Linked DNA regions of Anolis sagrei. The protein of the gene in region 2 purifies or fractionates together with the protein of the main gene of each other region. This does not show direct contact. Links are inferred from orthologs where the notes say so. Each region holds a gene or a part of one and is shown on either strand. Other genes may lie near its edges.

Region 1 (10,895 bases), on a different chromosome or scaffold from region 2:
TCAGCCATAGCAGAGCACCTGATAAACCAACCTGGACATAGCATATTGTTTGAGAACACAGAGAACTGGACCACTTTAACAACCACCATGTCAAGACTACACAGAGAAGCCATTGCAATCCACAAGCATGTGGACAATTTCAATAGAAAGGAGGAGACCATGAAAATGAACAAAATATGGCTATCAGTATTTTTAAAAACTCTAAAATCAGAACAGTAAATAAAGAGCAACAAAAACAAAAAACTTGTCTGGGGAATTCCAGACAAGAATCAATCAGAGCCAGCTAACACCTCCCAAAACAGGATTCCCCCAGGCAGTAAACAGCCATGCTTGGAAGCTGCAATGCCATTAAATGGTAATCAAGGTGACCAATTGCAACATTCACACTTGCCTTAAGCAGACAATAGTTCTTTCTTCCACCGTGGACATTCCACAGATATATAAACCCCACTTGCCCAGTTTCTAAAACACCTCACAACCTCTGTGGATACCTGCCATAAATGTGGGTGAAATGTCAGGAGAGAATGCTTCTGAAACATGGCCATACAGCCTAGCAAACTAACAGAAACCCAGTGGTTCCGCCATGAAAGCCTTCCACAACAAACCGTTCTACCGTTTTCCAGCTATTTATTTTTAATTTGTCTCAGAGGATTAGGAAAAATAGGGGAGCATCTACAATCTAGAGCAGGGGTCCTCAAACTTTTTAAACAGAGGGCCAGGTCACAGTCACTCAAACTGTTGGAGGGCTGGATTATAATTTGAAAAAACCATGAATGAATTCTTATGCACACTGCATTCATTGTATTTGTAGTGCAAAAACACTTCAAAACAATACAATAATTAAAATGAAGAACAATTTTAACAAATTGTTAATACAAACTTATTAGTATTTCAATGGGAAGTGTGGGCCTGCTTTGGGCTGATGAGGTAGGATTGTTGTTGTTGTTGCTGTGTGCTTTCAAGTCTTTTCAGACTTAGGTTGACCCTGAGCCAGGGCCGGGTAAATCTTGGAGGACCGTATCCGGCCCCTGGGCCTTAGTTTGAGGACCCCTGATCTAGAGGAAGAGATGAAAGAACTCAGTTGAGGCCTACTTCCAAAAGCTCAAACATGAGGCCTGAGACCACTTCCTTCACCTTCCTAACAAACCTAAACAACTCCACCTTGGATAGATAGATAGATAGATAGATAGATAGATAGATAGATAGATAGATAGATGTGGGATGGAGAAAAAGCGAAAAGATCAGGGGCCTCGAACAAGGCAATGTACAGTAGTCTGTTTGTTTCCATAATCCAAAGTTTCAGGAGAAAGAAAAAATTCATGCCGACTGCATGCCAGACCTGCAGTTCCAAAAACAGACTTCAGCAAACTGCTTGTGTATTTATCTTTGCCGAGTCCAGCTTCTTCCTGAGAAAGACGGTTCCAAAAAAAAAAGTTCTGGACTAGGAAATGAAAATACGATTTGAGCAGAAATTATCGCTTTTTTAAAAGCAGAATCCCTAGTGCTTATGGATCTCCAGCTGTTTTGAAAGAGAGAAACACAAGCCTGATGCAAAGTCTTTGGAGGCTCCTTCGAGTTTTAAAGCTCGATTTTTTCACATTTTTTGCATATTTAAAAAGTTGTGGGATTTTCTGCCTTGATATTCTGGGATATAGGGCTGTGCGGAAGGGCCCTGGGATATCTGAGTCCACACTCAGTTAATGTGGGATTTCCTGCCTTGATATTCTGGGATATAGGGCTGTGTGGAAGGGCCCTGGGATATCTGAGTCCACACTCAGTTAATGTGGGATTTCCTGCCTTGATATTCTGGGATATAGGGCTGTGCCGAAGGGCCCTGGGATATCTGAGTCCACACTCAGTTAATGTGGGATTTCCTGCCTTGATATTCTGGGATATAGGGCTGTGTGGAAGGACCCGCAGTGTGAACTGCATTGCATGGGAACTCTACACTGACATATAATGCAGTTCATAGAGTGTAGATCCAGCCCTGGTGATAACAGAAACACTAGCATGCCTGGGCTCTAGGAAAGCAGACCTTCAAAGGCTGGATCTACACTGCCAGATAATCCAGTTTCTAAGGGCCCTTCCACACAGCCATATAATCCAGAATATCTAGGCAGGTAATCCACCATATCTGCTTTGAACTGGGTTATCCGAGTCCACATTGCCATACAATCCAGTTCAATGAGGACATTATACAGCTGTGTGGAAGGGCACTAGAATATTAAAGCAGAAAATAATAATAATAACCCCACAATATCTGCTTTGAACTGGGTTATCCAAGTCTACACTGCCATATAATCCAGTTCAATGTGGATTTTATACAGCTGTGTGGAAGGAGCTTTAGTACAACTGTAGTGGTTACTGTCAGTCAATGTAAGATTGTATCGAGACATTTTTGTAAAAGTGGAAGCAAACTTATCTTCTTCTCCTTTTTGGTATTCGTTGTTGGTTAAACTTTGTTATTGTTTATGTTACACTACTAGGAAAATCACACTACTAGGAAAAGACATCTTTTGGTTTTCATCATGTTCTGTGAGAGGCATGCCAGAATAATATCTTTTGTTGTATCATTCCTATATATTGCAGATAATCTATCGTTTTTTTCAGCTGTGTGGAAGGAACTTGAGGATCCTTTAACACAAGGTCCTTCCACACAGCCATATAACCCAGAATATCAAGGCAGCAAATCCCACTATCTGCTTTGAACTGAGTTATCTGAGTCCACACTGCCATATATTCCAGTTTAAAGCAGATAATGTGGGATTTTATTCAGATTTTATTCACATCTCAGGATCTGATCCCAGGTTTTCTGCTTTGAAACTGGATTATATGAGTCCACGCAGCCAGATCATCAGGGGTCCTCAAACTAAGGCCTGGGGGCCGGATACGGCCCTCCAAGATAATTTACCCGGCCCTTGCTGAGGGTCAACCTAACCCACCCGGTGGGTTAAACCGCTGAGCTGCTGAGCTTGTTGACCGAAAGGTTGCAGGTTCGATTCCGGGGAGCGGTGTGAGCTTCCGCTGTCAGCCCAAGCTTCTGCCAACCTAGCAGTTTGAAAATATGCAAATGTGAGTAGATCAATAGGTACCACTTTGGAGGGAAGGTAACGGCGCTCCATGCAGTCATGCCGGTCACATGCCCTTGGAGGTGTCTACGGACAACGCCGGCTCTTCGGCTTAGAAATGGAGATGAGCACCAACCCCCAGAGTTGGACACGACTAGACTTAATGTCAGGAGAAAACCTTTACCTTTTATACTATCCAAAGCTAATATAATTATATATGTGGCTGGAGTTACACTTAAAAATGTACCTGTTCCAACTTACAAACAAATTTAACTTAAGAACAAACCTACAGAACCTATTTTGTTCGTAACTTGGGGATTGCCTGTAGTTATTTTAAGAGAAGAATGCCTGGGAAAATTGTATTGTTTTGTATTGAAATACTTTTAATGGAATCCGCTTTGAGTCTCCCTTGTGGAGAGAAAAAGCAGATTATTATTATTATTAATATTATTTAGATACAGGCTCGTGTATCATGTCTTTTGGTGCTGGTTACCGACTAGACTTAATGTCAGGGTAAAACTTTTACCTTTACCTAGGGCCTGTCCTATATCCCAGAATATCAAGGCAGAAAATCGCACATTATAGGAGTGTGGACTCAGATAAACCAGTTCAAAGCAGATATTGTGGGATTTTCTACTTTGATATTCTGGGACAGAGGGCTGTGTGGAAGGGCCCTGAGTTCACACTGCCATATAATCCAGTTCAATGTGGATTTTAATACAGGTGTGGCGTTAGAAAGCTTGTCATGGGGTGCAAGGAGAGCCATTATCTAAATAATAATAATGATAATAATGATGATAATAATAATAATAAGTTTTGCAGAAGTGCAAAATGGAATCATAGCATGGTTGAGAGTTGGAAGGGGCGGCAAGGGCCCAGCCAGCGCTGACATGCACTCAAAACGCAACCAAAACACTCCCAACAGATGGCCAAACCACTTCTGCTTGGAGAGATTTAAATTCTCGGGGGGGGGGGGGGCTTTCCTTTGCAACTTTTCCTCCTGCAACTCAAAATGGGATACCATGATTGACTCATATATAAGAGTTGCACTCCAAACACAACCAAAACACTCCCAACAGATGGCCAAACCACTTCTGCTTGGAAAGACTCCGCTTTTGAGGGGGGGGGGGCTTTCCTTTGCAACTTTTCCTCCTGCAACTCAAAATGGAATACCATGATTGACTCATATATAAGAGTTGCACTCCAAACACAACCAAAGCACTTCTGACAGATGGCCAAACCACTTCTGCTTGAAGAGACTCCAATTCTGGGGAAGAGGGGCCTTTCCTTTGCAACTTTTCCTCCTGCAACTCAAAATGGAATAGCATGGTTTTACTCATATATAAGAGTTGCACTCAAAACACAACCAAAACACTCCCTTCAGATGGCCAAACCACTTCTGCTTGGAGAGACTCCACTTTTGAGGGGGGGCTTTCCTTTGCAACTTTTCCTCCTGCAACTCAAATTGGAATAGCATTGTTGACTCATATATAACAGTTGCACTCAAGACACAACCAAAACACTCCCGACAGATGGCCAAACCACTTCTGCTTGGAGAGAGTCCAATTTTGTGGGAGAGGGGGCTTTCCTTTGCAACTTTTCCTCCTGCAACTCAAAATGGAATAGCATGGTTGACTCATATATAAGAGTTGCACTCAAAACACAACCAAAACACTCCCGACAGATGGCCAACCCACTTCTGCTTGGAGAGACTCAAATTCTGAGGGAGAGGGGGGCTTTCCTTTGCAATTTTTCCTAAGAATTGCACTCAAAACACAACCAAAACACTCCCGACAGATGGCCAACCCACTTCTGCTTGGAGAGACTCCACTTTTGAGGGGGGGGGGGCTTTTCTTTGCAACTTTTCCTCCTGCAACTCAAAATGGAATAGCGTGATTGACTCATATATAAGAGTTGCACTCAAGACACAACCAAAACACTCCCGACAGATGGCCAAACCACTTCTGCTTGGAGGGAGGGAGAGGTGCTTTCCTTGGCCACTTTTCCTCCTGCCACTCTCGCGCACCCACCTGTCCCGGGGGTCGATCCAGCTGGTCTGCTTGGTGTTGTGGTCGATGAAGAAGACCTTTCCGTCGTAGTCGCGGGCCTCCTCCCAGCCGTCGGGCAAGGGCAGCTGCCCGTCCCCGGCGTCCCTAGGCATGGCCGGGGGGCAGCCCTGGCTCCATCGGGGCGGGAAAGCCAAGAAGAAAGAAGGCGCTGCTGCTGTTGCTTTGCTACTGCAAGGACTCTTTTCCTCGCCTGCGGCCGGGCAGGAAACTCTCCCCTTTGCGCCTTTCAGCCCGCCATGGCTGAGATCGGGACCCCCCTCCCCTTCTCCGCCTTGGTCCGCCTCCTTTTCCCTTTGGGGGTCCCGGCAAAGGCGAGCTCCCGGTGCCAGGCCCAGGCGGAAGGCAGGGGAGGAGGGAACGGGCCAAGGCGCTGGAGGAACCCGGCTCAGCCCCGAGCGGCGCGCGGCGGCAGCGGCGCGCGGCGGCGGCAGCAGCGGGGGCTCATTTGCATGAGATTAGCATCCATCTCATCTGCATACGCATTCCTCCTTGGCCCGCAGGCGCATTCCTGAGCGTTAACCCTTTCTGCGCCGCTGCGGGATGAGAAGCGGCAGGGGAGGGAAAGGCCCAGAGAGAGAGAAAACTTTGGGAAAAGTTGAGCCTGGAATGCAATATTTGCAACTCTCTACTTGGCAGTTTTGACCCCCCACTTGCACTGCCATGGAGCAATGCCATGGGATCATGGGAGTCGTAGTTTTACACGCTCTTCAGACTACTCTGGCTGCCTCACCAAACTACAACTCCCACAATCCCATAGCATTGAGCCATGCCAGTTAAACTGGAGGGATTCGTTCAAAGTGCGTTATCCTAGGAGTCGTAGATTTGCGAGGTCTTCAGAGTTCTCAGTTTAAGAGTCCTGGGGCCTCACCAAACTACAACTCCCACCATTCCAAAGCACTGAGCCATGCCAGTTAAACTGCGGGGGTTCTACATTCACCCATGCTATGGACTCATGAAGTCTTCAGACTTCTCTTTCCAAGAGTGCTGGGCCACCTCCCCAAACTACAACTCCTACAATCCCAGAGCACTGAGTCATGCCAGTTAAACTGGAGGGATTCTTTCAAAGTGCATTATCCTAGGAGTTGTAGATTTGCAAGGTCTTCAGAGTTTTCAGTTTAAGAGTCCTGGGGCCTCACCAAACTACAACTCCCACCATTCCAAAGCACTGAGCCATGCCAGTTAAACTGCAGGGATTCTACATTCACCCATGCTATGGACTCATGAAGTCTTCAGACTTCTCTACCCAAGAGTGCTGGGCCGCCTCACCAAACTACAACTCCCACAATCCCATAGCAATGAGCCATGCCGGTTAAACTGGAGTGATTCTTTCAAAGTGCATTATCCTAGGAGTTGTAGATTGGCAAGGTCTTCAGAGTTCTCAGTTTAAGAGTCCTGGGGCCTCACCAAACTACAACTCCCACAATCCCAAGTAAAAAGCTCTTAACTTCTGGACTGTTTCTGCCACTGAGACCATGAAGCTCTTAAAGGGTTCAAATCCATTGAATGGCTGAGCCTGGGACTTTTGGATACTATTACATTTTTGTTCAGACTTGAGCTATGCACGTGCGGAGAGAGATAGTTTTAATGGTTTTTACATTGTTTTATAATGTTTTAAATGTTTGAACTGTATATTGTGGACTGGCTGCCAATCTGTTAACCAGCTTGAGTTGCCTTTGGGTTTGAGAAGGGCGGGATAAAAATACCGTAAATAATAAATAATAATAATAATAGCATTGAGCCATGGCAGTTAAACTGTAGGGTTTTAAGTGCACTCTCATAAGAGCTGTAGATTTGCAAGGACTTTTCTGCTCAAGAGTGCTGGGACCTTACCAAACTACAACTCCCACCATTCCAAAGCATTGAACCATACCAGTTAAACTGCAGGGATTCTAGATGCACCCCTTGCTATAAACTCATAGGAGTTATAGATTTGCAAGGTCTTCAGACTGCCCAAGAGTGCTAGGGCCTCACCAAACTACAGCTCCCACAATCCCATAGTATTGAGCCATGCCAGTTAAACTGTAGAGATTCTTTCTAAGTGCACTATCATAGGAGTTGTAGATTTGCAAGGTCTTCAGAGTTCTCAGCTCAAAACCCCTGGGGCCTCACCAAACTACGACTCCCACAATCCCATAGCATTGAGCTATGCCAGTTAAGCTGCAGGGATTTAAGTGCACTCCCATTGGAGTTGTAGATTTGCAACGACTTCTCTGCTCAAGAGTGCTGGGGCCTCACCAAACTACAACTCCCACAATCCCAAGTAAGACGCTCTTACCTTCTGGACTGTTTCTGCCACAGAGACCAGGAAGCTCTTAAAGGGTCCAAATCCTTTGGATGGTTGAGCCTGGGACTTTTGGATACTATTACATTTTTGTTCATGTTTGTGCTATGCACGAGTAGAGAGAGATGGTTTTATTTATGTATGTATTTATTTATTTACTACATTTATATACCGCCCTTCTCAGCCCACAGGCGACTTAGGGCGGTTTACCATCAGCATCAAAAGCGTAAAATACAATTTAAATATAAAAACAAATAAAACAATATCAATAAAAACATATATCGATTTGAGTCTCCTAGTTAAAAGCATTATCCAATACCGTCATTGAGTCGTTCCATTTTTTTCTCCACGTCTGTTATATTGTATCTGCAAACGCTTGCTCAAAAAGCCAAATCTTGACCTTCTTTCAGAGTGTTAAGAGGGAGGGGGGCTATCTAATACCCCTAGGGAGGGCGTTCCATAGCCAAGGAGCCACCACTGAGAAGGCTCTGTCTCTCATCCCCGCCAGGCATACTTGTGACGAAGGCGGGATCGAGAGCAGGGCCTCCCCAGACGATCTTAAAATCCTGGAGGGTTCATAAGGGGAGATGCGTCCAGACAGGTAAGTTGGTTTTTATATTGTTTTATAATATTTCAAATGTTTTAACTGTGTATTGTGGACTGTTATGGCATCGAATGGCTGCCAATCTCTAAACCGCTTTGAGTTGCCTTTGGGCTTGAGAAGGATGGGATAAAAATGTCGTAAATAATAAAGAATAATAGCATTGAGCCATGCCAATTAAACTGCAGGGATTCTAAGTGCACCTTCATAGGAGTTGTAGATTTGCAAGGTCTTCAGAGTTCTCAGCTCAAGAGTGCTGGGGCCTCACCAAACTGCATCTCCTACAATCCCATAGCATTGAGCCATGCCAGTTAAACGGCAAAGATTCTAAGTGCACCATCATAGGAGTTGTAGATTTGCAAGGAGTTCTCTGCTCAGGAGTGCTGGGGCCTCACCAAAGTACAACTCCCATCATTCCAAAGCATTGAACCATGCCAGTTAAGCTGCAGTGATTCTAGATGCCCCCTCATAGGAGTTGTAGATTTGCAAGGACTTCTCTGTCCAAGAGTGCTGGGGCCACACCAAATTACAGCTCCCACAATTCCATTACATTGAGCCATGCCAGTTAAACTTCAGAGATTTAAGTGCACTCTCATAAGAGTTGTAGATTTGCAAGGACTTCTCTGTCCAAGAGTACTGGGGCCTCACCAAACTACAACTCCCACAATCCCATAACATCGACCCATGCCAGTTAAACTGCAGGGATTCTAGATGCACCCCATGCTATAAACTCATAGGTGTTGTCGATTTGCAAGGTCTTCAAAGTTCTCTGCTCAAGAGGGCTGGGGCCTCACTAAACTACAACTCCTATCATGCCAAAGCATTGAGCCATGGTGGTTAAACTGCAGGGATTCTAAGTGCGCCCCATGTTATAAACTCATAGGAGTTGAAGATTTACAAGGTCTTCAGACGTCTCTTCCCAAGAGTGCTTTGGCCTCACTAAACTACAACCCCCACAATCCCATAGCATTGATCCATGGAAGTTAAAGGGGTGTCAAAATGCAGAGATTCTAGTTGCACCCCATGCTATGGACTCATAGGAGTTGTAGATTAGTTAACAGCCTCATCACACTAGAGCAGGGGTCCTCAAACTAAGGCCCGGGGCCCGGATGCGGCCCTCCAAGGTCATTTACCCGGCCCTCGCTCAAGGTCAACCTAAGTCTGAAACTACTTGAAAGCACAGAACAACAACAAAAATCCTATCTCATCAGCCAAAAGTAGGCCCACACTTCTCATTGAAATACTAATAATTTTATATTTGTTGAAATTGTTCTTCATTTTAATTATTGTATTGTTTTTAAGTGTTTTTTGCACTACAAAAAAGATATGTGCAGTGTGCATAGGAATTAATTCATGTTTTTTTCAAATTATAATCCGGCCCTCCAACAGTTTGAGGGGCTGTGACCTGGCCCTCTGTTTGAGGACCCCTGCACTAGAGTATGGATCCACTTTAATCCGGTTTCTGCTTCCTGCAGAATTCTGGGATTTGTAGTTTAGGGAGGCCCAAGACCTGTCTGGCTGAGTTGCTTAAAGGCCCCTCCCTAATGTACAACCTCAGAATTCTGCAGGAGGCAGAAACTGGATTTAAGTTGTTCCATTCTCTTTGAAGAGGTCCTTGTGGATTTTAACTGATTTTTTTTAAATACCAGTGATATTTAATTCTGCTTTAATGTCTGTATATTTGTAGATTTTAACTGTATTGAAATACTGTATTGAAAAACTGTATTGAAATACTTATTTGAGTCTCTTTGTGGAGAGAAAAAGCGAGGTATAAATAAACAATAATAATAATAATAAATTGAGTCTGTTGTGGAGAGAAAAAATGTGGTATAAATAAACATAACAACAATAAATTTGCGTCTCTTTTTGGAAGGAAAAGGCAGGGTATAAAATAATAATAATAATAATAATAATAATAATAATAATAATAGATTTGCAAGACCTTCAGCCTCCTCTGGCTTTTTAATTCTCTTCTGCTGTGTTTTTCAGTGTTTTTATGAGTGATGGTCACTTGCTGGCCTGATAGGTGTATTGTGCCCAAATTTGGTGTCAATTTGTCCAGTGGTTTTTGAGTTATGTTAATCCCACAAACCAACATTACATTTTTATTTATATAGATGTTGAAGGGGCCCCGGTGCCACAAAAAGGGTCTCCCACAATAAAAGACTTTAGAAAAAGTAGAAGAAAACCCCACAAGAAAGAAGAAAAGAGAGACTCCCAGAAGGGAGGTTCTCATCCAGTATCAGCCATGGTTTGAGGCTCCGGGTTTTAACCTGCCACTTTTGGTCTCTTGCTCGCTGAGGTGTTCATGTGAGTATCTCTGTAGATCTTAGAAAGCTATTTAAGGTGTTGGTAATGCCTTACATGGCTCTACATTACCCCCAGTATTAGTGGCTATATGTCTTTCAGTAAGACCCAGGGACTGGAAAGTGTGTAGGCACAATCATTCAGTTCATTCCTATTCTCAGTATACAATTAAAATAGGAAAATATACAAGCTACAAAATATGGTAAAATATTTACTTAAGTTTAATATGGTTGCATTGTTTTAGGCAAGAAACACTTCTGAGTGTTAAGAAAGCCCCCATTAATCTCATGGGGTACTATAAGTCCAACAGGTGACTTGAAGGCACACACACAGAGGCCCATCCAATCTGAAACCATTATTTTAGTTCTGTTAGATATGACTTTCTATCTCATTCACTTCCAAAGATACATCTGAACCTGAACAGTTATACAATTGGACCTCCATAGCCACAGATTCTGTATCTGAGGAATTCATTCATCCATAGCTTGAACATGTTTTTTTTTTAAGTGAAAAGCAAACTTTGATTTTGCTATTTTATATCCAGGACACCGTTTTGCTATGCCGTTGTA
Region 2 (11,381 bases):
TGCTAAGGAGTGATCACATAAAAAGAAAACTATTGTGTTTGAGTTCTCACTGTAAGGAAGAAAGTCAAATCAACACATTCTTCCCATACTTCTCTCCTTCATGCACAACCGGAATCCAACGGAAATACGTCTTATATTCACTAGGTAAATTGGGGCAAACAGTCGAGCAAACAAACACATGGAATCTATATGGAGCTGCCAACAACAAGGAGCAGAGGACTGTTGTGTTCTTACTCTATTTTGGGGGACTTCCCAGAAGCATGGGACTGACTCCATTTGGAAACAGGATGCTGAATAGACAGACCTTTGTTCTAAAAAAGCAGTGCTCTTTTTTAGTGTCTTTGATCCCTTCTGAGTCCAAGAACATTACCTTAGAGAAGTTTTCAAAACTGTAATGCCCAAAAAAAGGTCTATCATAACACACTTAGGGTTTACTTAAAAAAAAAAATACACTCACCATAGATGCAGGCGAAACGTCAGGAGAAATGCTGACCATAGATGCAGCTTGCCATAGATGCAGGTGAAACGTCAGGAGAAATGCCTCTAGAACATGGCCATATAGCCCGAAAAAACCCACAAGAACTGAATACACTCACACATTGCACAAACCTTTCTTGTGTGCATTTCACAAGTCATCATAAAGGAGGAAGGGATGGGATTTTCAGCATAAGAGTTCATATTTGATACCATCCTTTCATTCCTTGCAACACCCCTCATTAGAGATACATAGCTGGAGAGAATACAAAGAAAGAGACTTATAATCATCAGGGCCCTTTGCCCACAGAAGTTCAAAACCAGCAAACCTCATCCCCTTTACCCTCTTTAAATACACATCTATGTTGTGTGCACTGTAGGCAAACAAATGACTCATTCCTTAAAAGGCAGCTTCTTTTGCAAACTTAAAAAAAAGATTAATAGATTTTGTCAGGCAGGGAGCAGGAGAAACTGCCACCACATTCCTTCCTTCTTGTCACAACATCTGCCAGAGAGGAATGGCCGGTATAGACTTGACTAGTAGCTAACAAAGAGCAGGAAGATAAAATCCACCCAGCCAAAAGAGTGGGAGTTGGGTTGTTGTGAGTTCCATGGCCATGTTCCAGAAGCATTCTCTCCTGACGTTTCGCCCACATCTATGGCAGGCATCCTCAGAGGTGTGAGGTCTGTTGGAAACTAGGCAAGTGAAGTATATATATCAGTGGAATGTCCAGGGTGGGAGAAAGAACTCTTGTCTGCTTGAGAGAAGTGTGAATGTTTTAATTGTCCACCTTGGTTACCATTTATAGCTTCAAAGCCTGGCTGGCTGCTGCCTGGGGGAATCCTTTGTTGGGAGGTGTTAGCTGGCCCTCATAGATTCTTGTCTGGAATTTCCCTGCTTTTTAAGTGTTGCTCTTTATTTACTGCCCTGATTTTAGAGTTTTTAAAAATACTAGTAGCCAGATTTTGTTCATTTGAGCTGGCTGAAACATGGACCCAAAGAGAAATCACACCACAACACTGAGAAGCTGGACACACAAAGTTTAGTAAAGTTTTTCAAGGCACCCCATGCCATTGCAACAGGACAAGTTGAAAAAGGGAAAGTCATGTGAGGCTAATGCTTTCAAAGGGTCACTTATTTTCAGAACTCCTTTTGCATGCTCAACCTTTCCATTTAACTGAGCAGATCTGAAATACAATTTTCAGGCAGTGAGGGATGGGCATAAGTCTCCAAAACCGCCCATTAACTGTTCCTGCATTATACGTTTTGTATTTTTTTCAAAAATGCAAAAGCAAGTTAGTCCAAAAACACAAACCTCAGAACAGAGCTGTGCCAAGATAATTGACCAAAGAGCCTTACTTACACCAACGCCTGAGTCAGAAACTTCCAAACTGGACATAAACTGTTCCTGTGCTTTTCAAATTGCAAAAACAAAAATCCCAAAACACACACACACCTCCGGGGGTGTTGTGCCAAGTTTACTGACCAGAGAACCTTGTTTACACAAAGAGACTCAAAAACTGCCCAACTGCACACGAACTATGTGTTGTCGAAGGCTTTCATAGCCAGGAATCACTGGTTGCTGTGAGTTTTCTGGGCTGTATGGCCATGTACCAGAAGAATTCTCTCCTGACGTTTCACCCACATCTATGGCAGGCATCCTCAGAGATTGTGAGGTCTGTTGGAATTAGAACGAGTGAGGTTTATATATCTGTGGAATGCCCAGGGTGGGAGAAAGAACTCTTGTCTGTTGGAGGTAGGTGTGAATGCTGCAATCGATCACCTTGATTAGCATTGAAAAGCCTTGCAGCTTCAAGGCTTGGCTGCTTCCTGTCTGGGGGATTCCTTTGTTGGGATGATGAGTATGGTCTACATACTTGCATTATGTTTTTATTAGGCGTTTTAAGTATTATATTTCATGTTTTAAATGTCCTTATATCTTATGATGAATTGTCTTATTGATTTTATGCTCAGTTATATGGTGTTGATTGTGATTTAGGGTAAGGCATTGAATTTTGTCACTATTTCTATGGAAACCACTTTGTGTCCCCCCAGGGGTAAAAAAAGTGGTATATAAATACTGTAAATAAATAAATAGCTGGCCCTGTTCCTGTATTTTTTAAAAATGCAAATCAAAATAACCCCAAAACCACACACCTCACAGAGAAGTTCTGCCAAGATTACTGAAGAACTCATCAAACTAGAGAATGAATTCAATTTAAATCCGGTTGCTGCCTCCTGCAGAATTCTGGGGATTATAGTTTAGGGGGGAACCTTCAACTAAACTGCAAACCCCAGAATTCTGCTGAAGGCAGAAACCAGATTTAAAGTGGATTCATGCTCTAGTCTTGGCTTATATCAACTTCAAACCCAGAAACTCCCAAACTGTACCTAAACTAATAATAATAATAATAACAACAACAACAACTTTATTTTTATATCCCACCTCCATCTCCCCAAGGGACTTGGGGCAGCTTATAAAGGGACAAGCCCAGGGAGTACAAAGTTAAAAACATAACACAATAAGATAGCATCAAAACAAAATCAAATAAAACATATCACAATAAAACATATCATAAAACAATACCATACAGAACAGAACGATAACAGTACTGAGTTCAGAGGGCTCTGGGTTTGTGTGCATTCTTCCTGTATTATAGGTTTTGCATTTTTTTTTAAATCAAAAGCAAAACAATAACAACCTCAAAACACTCACACTGCAGAGCGAAGTTGTACGAAGTTTACTGACCAGAGAGGAGCCTTACTAATGCTTACACCAACTCCAAACTCAAAAAGTCCAAGCCAACTCACTCAAGCATCCCAACTGTTGCATCTCAGGCTTACCTGCTTTCACATGAGTTTGGGACCCCTTCGAGGCAGCTGCGTCTCCTCAAGGTATAGTTCTCAAAGATCTCCTCCTTTCCTTCCTCTAGGCCTTGATTTCTTTTTTTTAAATCCGCAAGATTCACCGGTGATGGATGAAGGAGGCTTCCGCTTTAGCCAAGGAATCCAAACAAGGGGACAGGGCAAGTTGGAGCCGACAGAATTTGCCAAAATTAGGAAGGAAAGGGGAGAAAGAGGAAGGGGAGAAAAGGAGGATGGTGGGGAATGAAGAGGACTGAGTGATATTGGGGTGCTAAGGAGTCAGCAGCAAAAAAGGGGGGCTCTTCTTTCTTTCTTTTCCCCCTCCCGAAGAAGCAACACGCAAGGCTCTCCAAAGGAAAGTTTGTAGGAAGTTTGAGCTTCAGGAAGGGAGGGTGCTGGAGGAGGGAAGAAGTTCGGGAGCCTGGAGGGAGGAGAGAGCCAAGCAGAGAGGAGGGGATTGGTGCCTAGATGGAGAAAGGCAGGCGTCCAGAGCGTGTGGGTCCTCCCTCCCTCCCTCCCTCCCTCCCTCCCGCGTGGCTCTTCCTCGGCCCCGGTCCTGCGTGGAGCTGCTGCTTGGAGAAGCAAGAGCCCTCCCGCCTGCCTCCTTGCCGTCGCCGACCTCGGAGTCACAGCCCAGGAATGCCAAGAATGCGGAGCAGCCACTGCAGGGCAGGAGGCGGCGGGGACTTGCCTGGAGGGAGCACTTCTCTCTTGCTTGCTTGCTTGCTTTCTCTCTCCGTATTTTTACGCACAGGCGACTCAAAGAAGGGGCGCTCCAAAAGGAGCCCAAATCCAGGATGCCTTTCGGAGTTTGACTCTGTTCCAAGGCGGGCCAAGCCTCCCCCAAATGCCAAGGGGAAGAAGGGGAGGAGGAGGGAAGGAACTCGGGACCAACTAGGAATCCAAATGCCCGAGAGCTCCTTTCCCTCTTTCTTTCTTTCTGTACTTGCTGGAGCGCAACTCTAGTGGCGAGCCTGACGCACAGCTTGGAGAGAAGTTGGAAGAAGACGAGGAGGCGCGCCGGAGTGACTCCGTTTTACACGGAGAGGAGGGACTAGCGAGGCAGTTCTCAGTAGGGAAGGGAGGACCAAGCCGGGGAAAGGGTTGGGGGGCAAGGAATAGAGGCTTTGGGGAGGTTCCCCTTGACTGCGCGCAGAGGAGAGGGAGAGCCCGGAGGTATCAGGGAAGGAGGAGCTACTTCTGGGTTGGTTTGTGTTTTTGGGGATTTCAGTTGGAGAGGAAGATGGAGGAAGGCGCCCCATAGGAAGGGGGTTTCCCGCCCTCCGTGAAGGGCGGGGAAACCCATTTGGAGGAAGGGGCGGAGAGCCAGCCGGGGGAAATCTTTCCGACCAGCCTTTTGCGCAAAGGCCTGGAGTGGCTGGCTGGCTTGCTTGCACGATTTCTTTGCCCCAGCTCTCCTCTTTCACCAACTTTCTCTTCTCCTTTCTCCAACTTTAGCCCCTTTGGTTCTCAACCTTCTTAATGCCGCGACCCCTTAATACAGTTCCTCATGTTGTGAACCCCAACCATAAAATTATTTTCCTTGCTACTTCATAACTGTCATTTTGCTACTGTTTGGAATCGTAATGTAAATATCTGATATGCAGAATGCATTTTCATTCACTGGACCAAATTTTGCACAAATACCCAATACACCCAAATTTGAATTCTGGTAGGGTTTGGGCGGGGGGGGGGGGTTGATTTTGTCTTTTGGGAGTTGTAGTTGCTGGGATTTATAGTTCACCTACAATCAAAGAGCATTCTGAACTCCATCAAAGGTGGAATTGAACCAAATTTGGCACACACAACTCCCATGCCCAACAGAGGATACTGGACATTGACCTTGAGTTTGGGAGTTGTAGTTCACCTACATCCAGAGCACACTGTGGACTCAAATAATGATGGATCTGAACCAAACTTGGCACTAATATTCAATATGCCCAAATGTGAACACTGGTGGAGTTTGACTGAAATCAACTTGATATTTTGGAGTTGTAGTTGCTGGGATTTATAGTATATCTACAACCAAAGAGCATTCTGAATCCCACCAAGGAGAGTTTGGCCCAATTCTCTCCACCAAGGAGAGAATTGGGCCAAACTTCCCACACGAAACCCCTATGACCAACAGAAAATATTATGTTTTCTGATGGTCTTTGGCAACACCTCTGACGCCCCCTCACAACCCCCCCAGGGGTCCCAACCCCCAGGTTGAGAAACACTGGGTTAGAGAGATTTATCAAGTTTTGTTGCCCTGCCTTACTTACGTAGAAGTAAAACCGAGTTTTAAAAGTTGTTTCTCCCACCCTAGACATTCCACAGATATATAAACCTCACTTGCTTAGTTTCCAACAGTCCTCGCAATGTATGAAGATGCCTGCCATAGATGTGGGTGAAACGTAAGGAGAGAATGTTTCTGGAACATGGCTATACAGGCCAAAAAACTCAAAGCAACCCAGTGATTCCAGCCATGAAAGTCTTTGACAACACATTTCATTGTAGCAATTGAGCTTGAATACATTTAGGACCATCCAGATCAGAGTGGCATTTCTGAAACTCAGCTTTCATCATAAGTTTTCATGGACTTCCATTTATTTTATTAGATGTTGAGCAAGGATGTAGAGGTTCAAGTGCAAACATTACCTTCCATATAATAATTCTCCCTCCCTTATGAAATACTCCTCCAGTCTCATAAATTCTAGCAATGTAGTAATTTCAAAATTAAGCATATAGAAATAGTTTAGGCATCCAAAATAAGATATTATGGGCCTTCTGTATCCATGGATTCAACAATTTACAGCTTGAAAACTTTTCATTCCCAGAATTCCAGAAAGCAAACCTTTATTTTAGCATGTTATAGAAGGCTTTCATGGCTGGAATCACTGGGTTGCTGAGAGTTTTTTGGACTGTATGGCCATGTTTCGACACTCAGAATACAGGGGAATTCCAGACAGGAAACAATCAGCATCAGCTAACACTTCCCAACAAAGCATTCCCCCAGGCAGGAAGCAGCAAGGCTTTGAAGCTGCAAGCCTATTCAATGCTAATCAAGGTGGCCAATTGCAACATTCACAATTACTGGGTTGTTGTAGGTTTTTTTCGGGCTATATGGCCATGTTCTAGAGGCATTCTCTTTTGACATTTCACATGCATCTATGGCAAGCATCCTCAGAGGTAGTGAGGATCACCTCACTACCTCTGAAGATGCTTGCCATAGATGCAGGTGAAACATCAGGAGAGAATGCCTCCAGAACATGGCCATATAGCCCAAAAAAACCTACAACAACCCAGTGATTCTGGCCATGAAAGCCTTCAACAATACATATTCACAATTGCCTTAAACAGACAAGAGTTCTTTCTCCTACCATGGACATTCCATGGATATATAAACCCCATTTGCCTAGTTTCCACAGACCTCACAATCTCTGAGGATGCCTGTCGTAGATGTGAGTGAAACATCAGGAGAGAATACATCTGGAACATGGTCATACAACCCACTTTATTTGAGCATTTTATATAAGGGGTACAATTTTACTATGCCATTACATATAATGGGACTAGGAGCATCCTTGGATTTTAAACCCGAACATATACAAGGACCATATAGGCAAAGTTGTCAAGGGAATGCAGACAGCAAATTCTAGAGTCCTAGTTGTGAGTGCATTTTAGTGTCATTTTCTGCAATGCTAGAAATGCACACAATGAAGGAAAATCATAAAGGGCAGAACTCCTATTTTGCCTTCATCTCCTGGTAACTATACACCTGTATATGGGCCCAGCAGATGCAGATGATTAGCAATCTGGAATTCATGAAAGTTTATGATGGAATATCACTCTCCAAAGTGTTGCTAGATCATTTCCTCATATTAGTCTTATGTTACAACACACTAACAAGAGTCTTCCCTTGAAAACTCTCCTCTAGTGTCCCTGGTCTATGAAGTATAGTCCTTACCTCCTTTGCAGTGAGTCCTCCAGACTCCCCAAACCACCCTTTTTCTCTCTGCTCCATTATGTGTCCCAGGAGAAGCAACAACATTTTAAAATGTTACAGGCACACACATCCCATTTTGTTTAATGTCAGTAAATAATAAATGGATACACATTTTCTTTTTTAGTAGTTTTGCAGGGGTCTAGAGACAAAAACACAAATTCCAGCCATATAGTTGACCATCCTTGTCAAAGACCCTTACATTTTTAATAGTTGGTTGTTTAAATAAGGCATGCTCTCCCCTATATCACTATCAATTTCTCCCAAATCCCTCCAATATTTTCTGTTGGTCATGGGGATTCTGTGTGGGAAGTTTGACCCAATTGTATTGTTGGTGGAGTTCAGAATGCTCTTTGATTGTAGGTGAACTATAAATCTCAGCAACTACAGCTTCCAAATGTCAAGGTCTATTTTCCCCAAACTTCATATTTGAGCATATTGAGTATTTGTGCCAAGCTTAGTCCAGATCCATCATTGTTTGTGTCCACAGTGCTCTTTGGATGTAGCTGAACTACAACTCTGAAACCCAAGATCAAGCCCACCAAACCCTTCCAGTATTTTCTGTTGGTCATGGGAGTTCTGTATGCCAAGTTTGGTTCATTTCCATCATTGGTGGAGTTCAGAATGCTCTTTGATTGTAGGTGAACTATAAATCCCAGCAATTACAACTCCCTAATGACAAAATCAATCCCCCCAACCCCACCAGTATTCAAATGTGGGCGTATGGGGTATTTGTGCCAAATTTGGTCCAGTGAATGAAAGTACATCCTGCATAACACATATTTACATTACGATTCATATGAATAGTAAAGTTGCAATTATGAAGTAGCAACCAAAATAATTTTATGGTTGGGGTTCACCACAACATGAAGAACTATATTAAGGGGTACGGCATTAGGAAGGTTGAGAAACACTGTTCTAATGCAAGGAGCCAACTCATTTCCAACACTCTGAACAACAGTATTTTGTTGCTAGGAAAATGTTTTTCCCCCTCTACTGTGCCAGCACTGCACAGGAAATCTTCCTGAAAAGAGAGAAAGATGGAAAAATTGATTTCACAAAATCAGTAGAGCCCTGCAACAAAGTCATTCCCTGGCCCTAGTCTGTATCCTAGTCTGTGGAAATTGGATAATGCAGGATGACGGTAGTGTGGAACAATCACTGCATGTTTGCCAACATTTTCATAGATTAAAACAGGGATAGGCTCTCAGCACACATCTCTGATAGTGAGTTGCCCACACATACTCATTGTTGAAGGTTCTGTTTTGCCAGTTGTGCGCTATATTTATTTGTTTTACAGGAACCTGTACTCTGCTCACTTAAAAGCCAAACACAATGGTATTTGTTGTGAAAGATAAACTTGGAAAATGCTATTGTAACATAGGATGCCACGTGTTCAAAATATATTTGACACTTTAGCATCCCCACACTTGCATTTACATGTGTATGCACAGCAGGACTAAATTTACGACTCAAGAGATATGCAGTGCAGTGCTGTAAGATCTACTTAGAAGTCAGTCTATTGAGGTTAATGGAATTTTCAGGGTAAATGGTAGTTAGAACTGTAGCCATAACTTACAAAAATTCTTTGGAAATGTGAATTATAAGAATCACTGAGTTGTTGTAGGTTTTTCAGGCTGTGTGGCCATGTTCTAGAAGCATTCCATCCTGACGTTTCACCTGCATCTGTGGCAGGCATCCTCAGAAGTTGTGAGGTCCTCACAACATCTGAGGATGCCTGTCACAGATGCAGGCGAAACATCAGGAGAGAATGCCTCTAAAATATGGCCATACAGACAAAAAACCCTACAGCAACCCAGTGATTCAGGCCATGAAAGCCTTCGACGATAAGAATAAAGTTGAAGATTACAACTTTAAGGTAGGCATAATTACGCAGAAGCAAATCCTATTAAAGCATTACAGTACTGAATGTAAGATGATAGAATTACAAATTGTAGGGCTTTCCTTTCAAGCAACTTCTTGCTAAACTCATCCCAAAGAGTAAAAGAGTAATTTAGGGCAACTTTGGGCCAGGAGTAGGGAACCTTGGACGTTCCAGATGCTGACAAACTATTAGGCTCACTACCAGGCTGGATAGATCAGGCTGATGGGAACTAGAGTGAACAACTGAATGACCATAAACTCATCAGCCATGTTTTAGTCACTACTGTTTCTACAGGCCTATACTCATCACCATTATTATTATTATTATTATTATTATTATTATTATTATTATTTCATTTATATTACACCCTTCTCAAAACCAAAAGAGACTCAGAGCGGCCTTACAAATTAGGCAGCAATTTGATGCATATATATATATATATATATATATATATATATATATATATACATACATACACACACACACACACACACACATACATACAGACACACACACACACAACAAAATAAACATTTACATTAAAACCAAAGCATTAACAATTTAAAACCACTTATTAAAATCACACCATCCAAAATCTGAAGCTGTTCCATTTGTCATTTCACTATTCCTTATTCTCTTGTTGCACTAAAAACTTGCTCTCCAAAAGCCTGGTCACATAACCACATTTTTACTTTCTTCCTGAAGGGGGCTGCTCTAATTTCACTAGGGAGGAAGTTCCATAGCCAAGGGGCCACCACTGATAAGGCCCTGCCCCTCATTCCCACCAGCCCCACATGCAAAGAAGATGGGACTGAGAGCAGGACCTCCCGAGAAGATATTAATCTCTGAGGTGTATCATAGAGGGAGATACATTCAGACAGGTAAGCTGGGCTGGAACCATTAAGGGCTTTATAGGCTAACGTCAGCACTTTGAATTGTGCTCGGTAGCAGACTGGCAGTCAGTGGAGCAGACGTAACAGGGATCTTGTACGCTCCCTGTGCGCTGCCCCAGTGAGGAGTCCAGCTGCCGCCTGTTGGATCCCTTGAAGCTTCTGAACAGTCTTCAAATGCAACCCCATGGAGAGCGTGTAGCAGTAATCTATCATTGATGTAACAAGAGCATGGTCCACCGTGGCCATGCTTTTATTACTTATGCGCACATACATCCTATGCCAATACTCTATGACTGGCACAGTGTTTAAAATGTCAGTAGTGTAAACTTTTGACCATATAGTCTGCATCCAATACCCCCCCCCCCAACTCCAAAGAAAATTCTAGAAAGCAACCTTTTATTTTGCCATTTTATATTAGAGATGCCATTTACTGTGCCACTGTATATTATGGGTCTTGGGCATCCACAGATTTTGGTATCCATGGCAGGGCTGTTAATCAACCCCCAGTGGTTATCAGGGCCCACTGTATTTGCACTGAAAGCTGGTGCAGAGTAGTAGACTAAGGTATTCCACTATAAATTTGGAAATCCCAAACATAAAGAAAAACATAAAATGTAAATACTGTATACAGCAACTCACATTCATTTCAAGAACAATCAACATCATACAATACATAAAAATGTCCTTCCAAAATCTGTCTGAATTGTCCACTGCTATTAGCTATTAGGATGATAGTTATAATTCAAAAACACCTGGAGATCCCACTCAGTGGACAAGTTGCCCACTGAATTCTGCTAAAGAGAACAGTTGCCACATAGGTGCCTTCATATTCAATCTGGTCCACAGAAATTCATCCAGGACATTTACTTTTGGAAACATTAAACATTTGAGGGGGAAGGTTTTCAAAATAACCTCACTAAAGTTATTCTAATGATCCCATACCATAGAAGTTTTCAGGCTGTATGGCCATGTTCCAGTAGCATTCTCTCCCAACGTTTCACTTGCATCTGTGGCAGGTATCTTCAGAGGTTCTGTTGACAGTGAGGTAAGTGGAGTATATATACCCGTGGAATGTCCAGGGTGGGAGAAAGAACCCTTGTCTGTTTAAGGAAATGTGAATGTTGCAATTAGTAAGCATAGTTTGGAACACTTGAAAGTGCTGCTACAGTAACCACAACTGAGTGTTTCAGGAACAATCAACATCTTATGAATCATAGAGTTGGAGGAGACCTCATGGGCCATCTAGTCCAACCCCCTGCCAAGAAGCAGAAATATTGC

The links.
Region 1: the proteins of PTPN14 (region 2) and WWC2 purify together in Homo sapiens (affinity purification with mass spectrometry, with the first as the bait; 3 studies listed by BioGRID). This does not show direct contact. The link is inferred for Anolis sagrei from reciprocal best matches to the Homo sapiens genes PTPN14 and WWC2.

Annotation. Positions count from the first base shown.
Region 1 is NC_090025.1:65,606,931-65,617,825, reverse strand, and holds the start of WWC2 (protein WWC2), read right to left. Parts: upstream 5,568-10,895; 5' UTR 5,230-5,567; coding exon 5,099-5,229; intron 1-5,098. UniProt on the Homo sapiens protein: Regulator of the Hippo signaling pathway, also known as the Salvador-Warts-Hippo (SWH) pathway.
Region 2 is NC_090021.1:33,746,334-33,757,714, forward strand, and holds the start of PTPN14 (tyrosine-protein phosphatase non-receptor type 14), read right to left. Parts: upstream 4,570-11,381; 5' UTR 3,320-4,569; intron 1-3,319. UniProt on the Homo sapiens protein: Protein tyrosine phosphatase which may play a role in the regulation of lymphangiogenesis, cell-cell adhesion, cell-matrix adhesion, cell migration, cell growth and also regulates TGF-beta gene expression, thereby modulating epithelial-mesenchymal transition.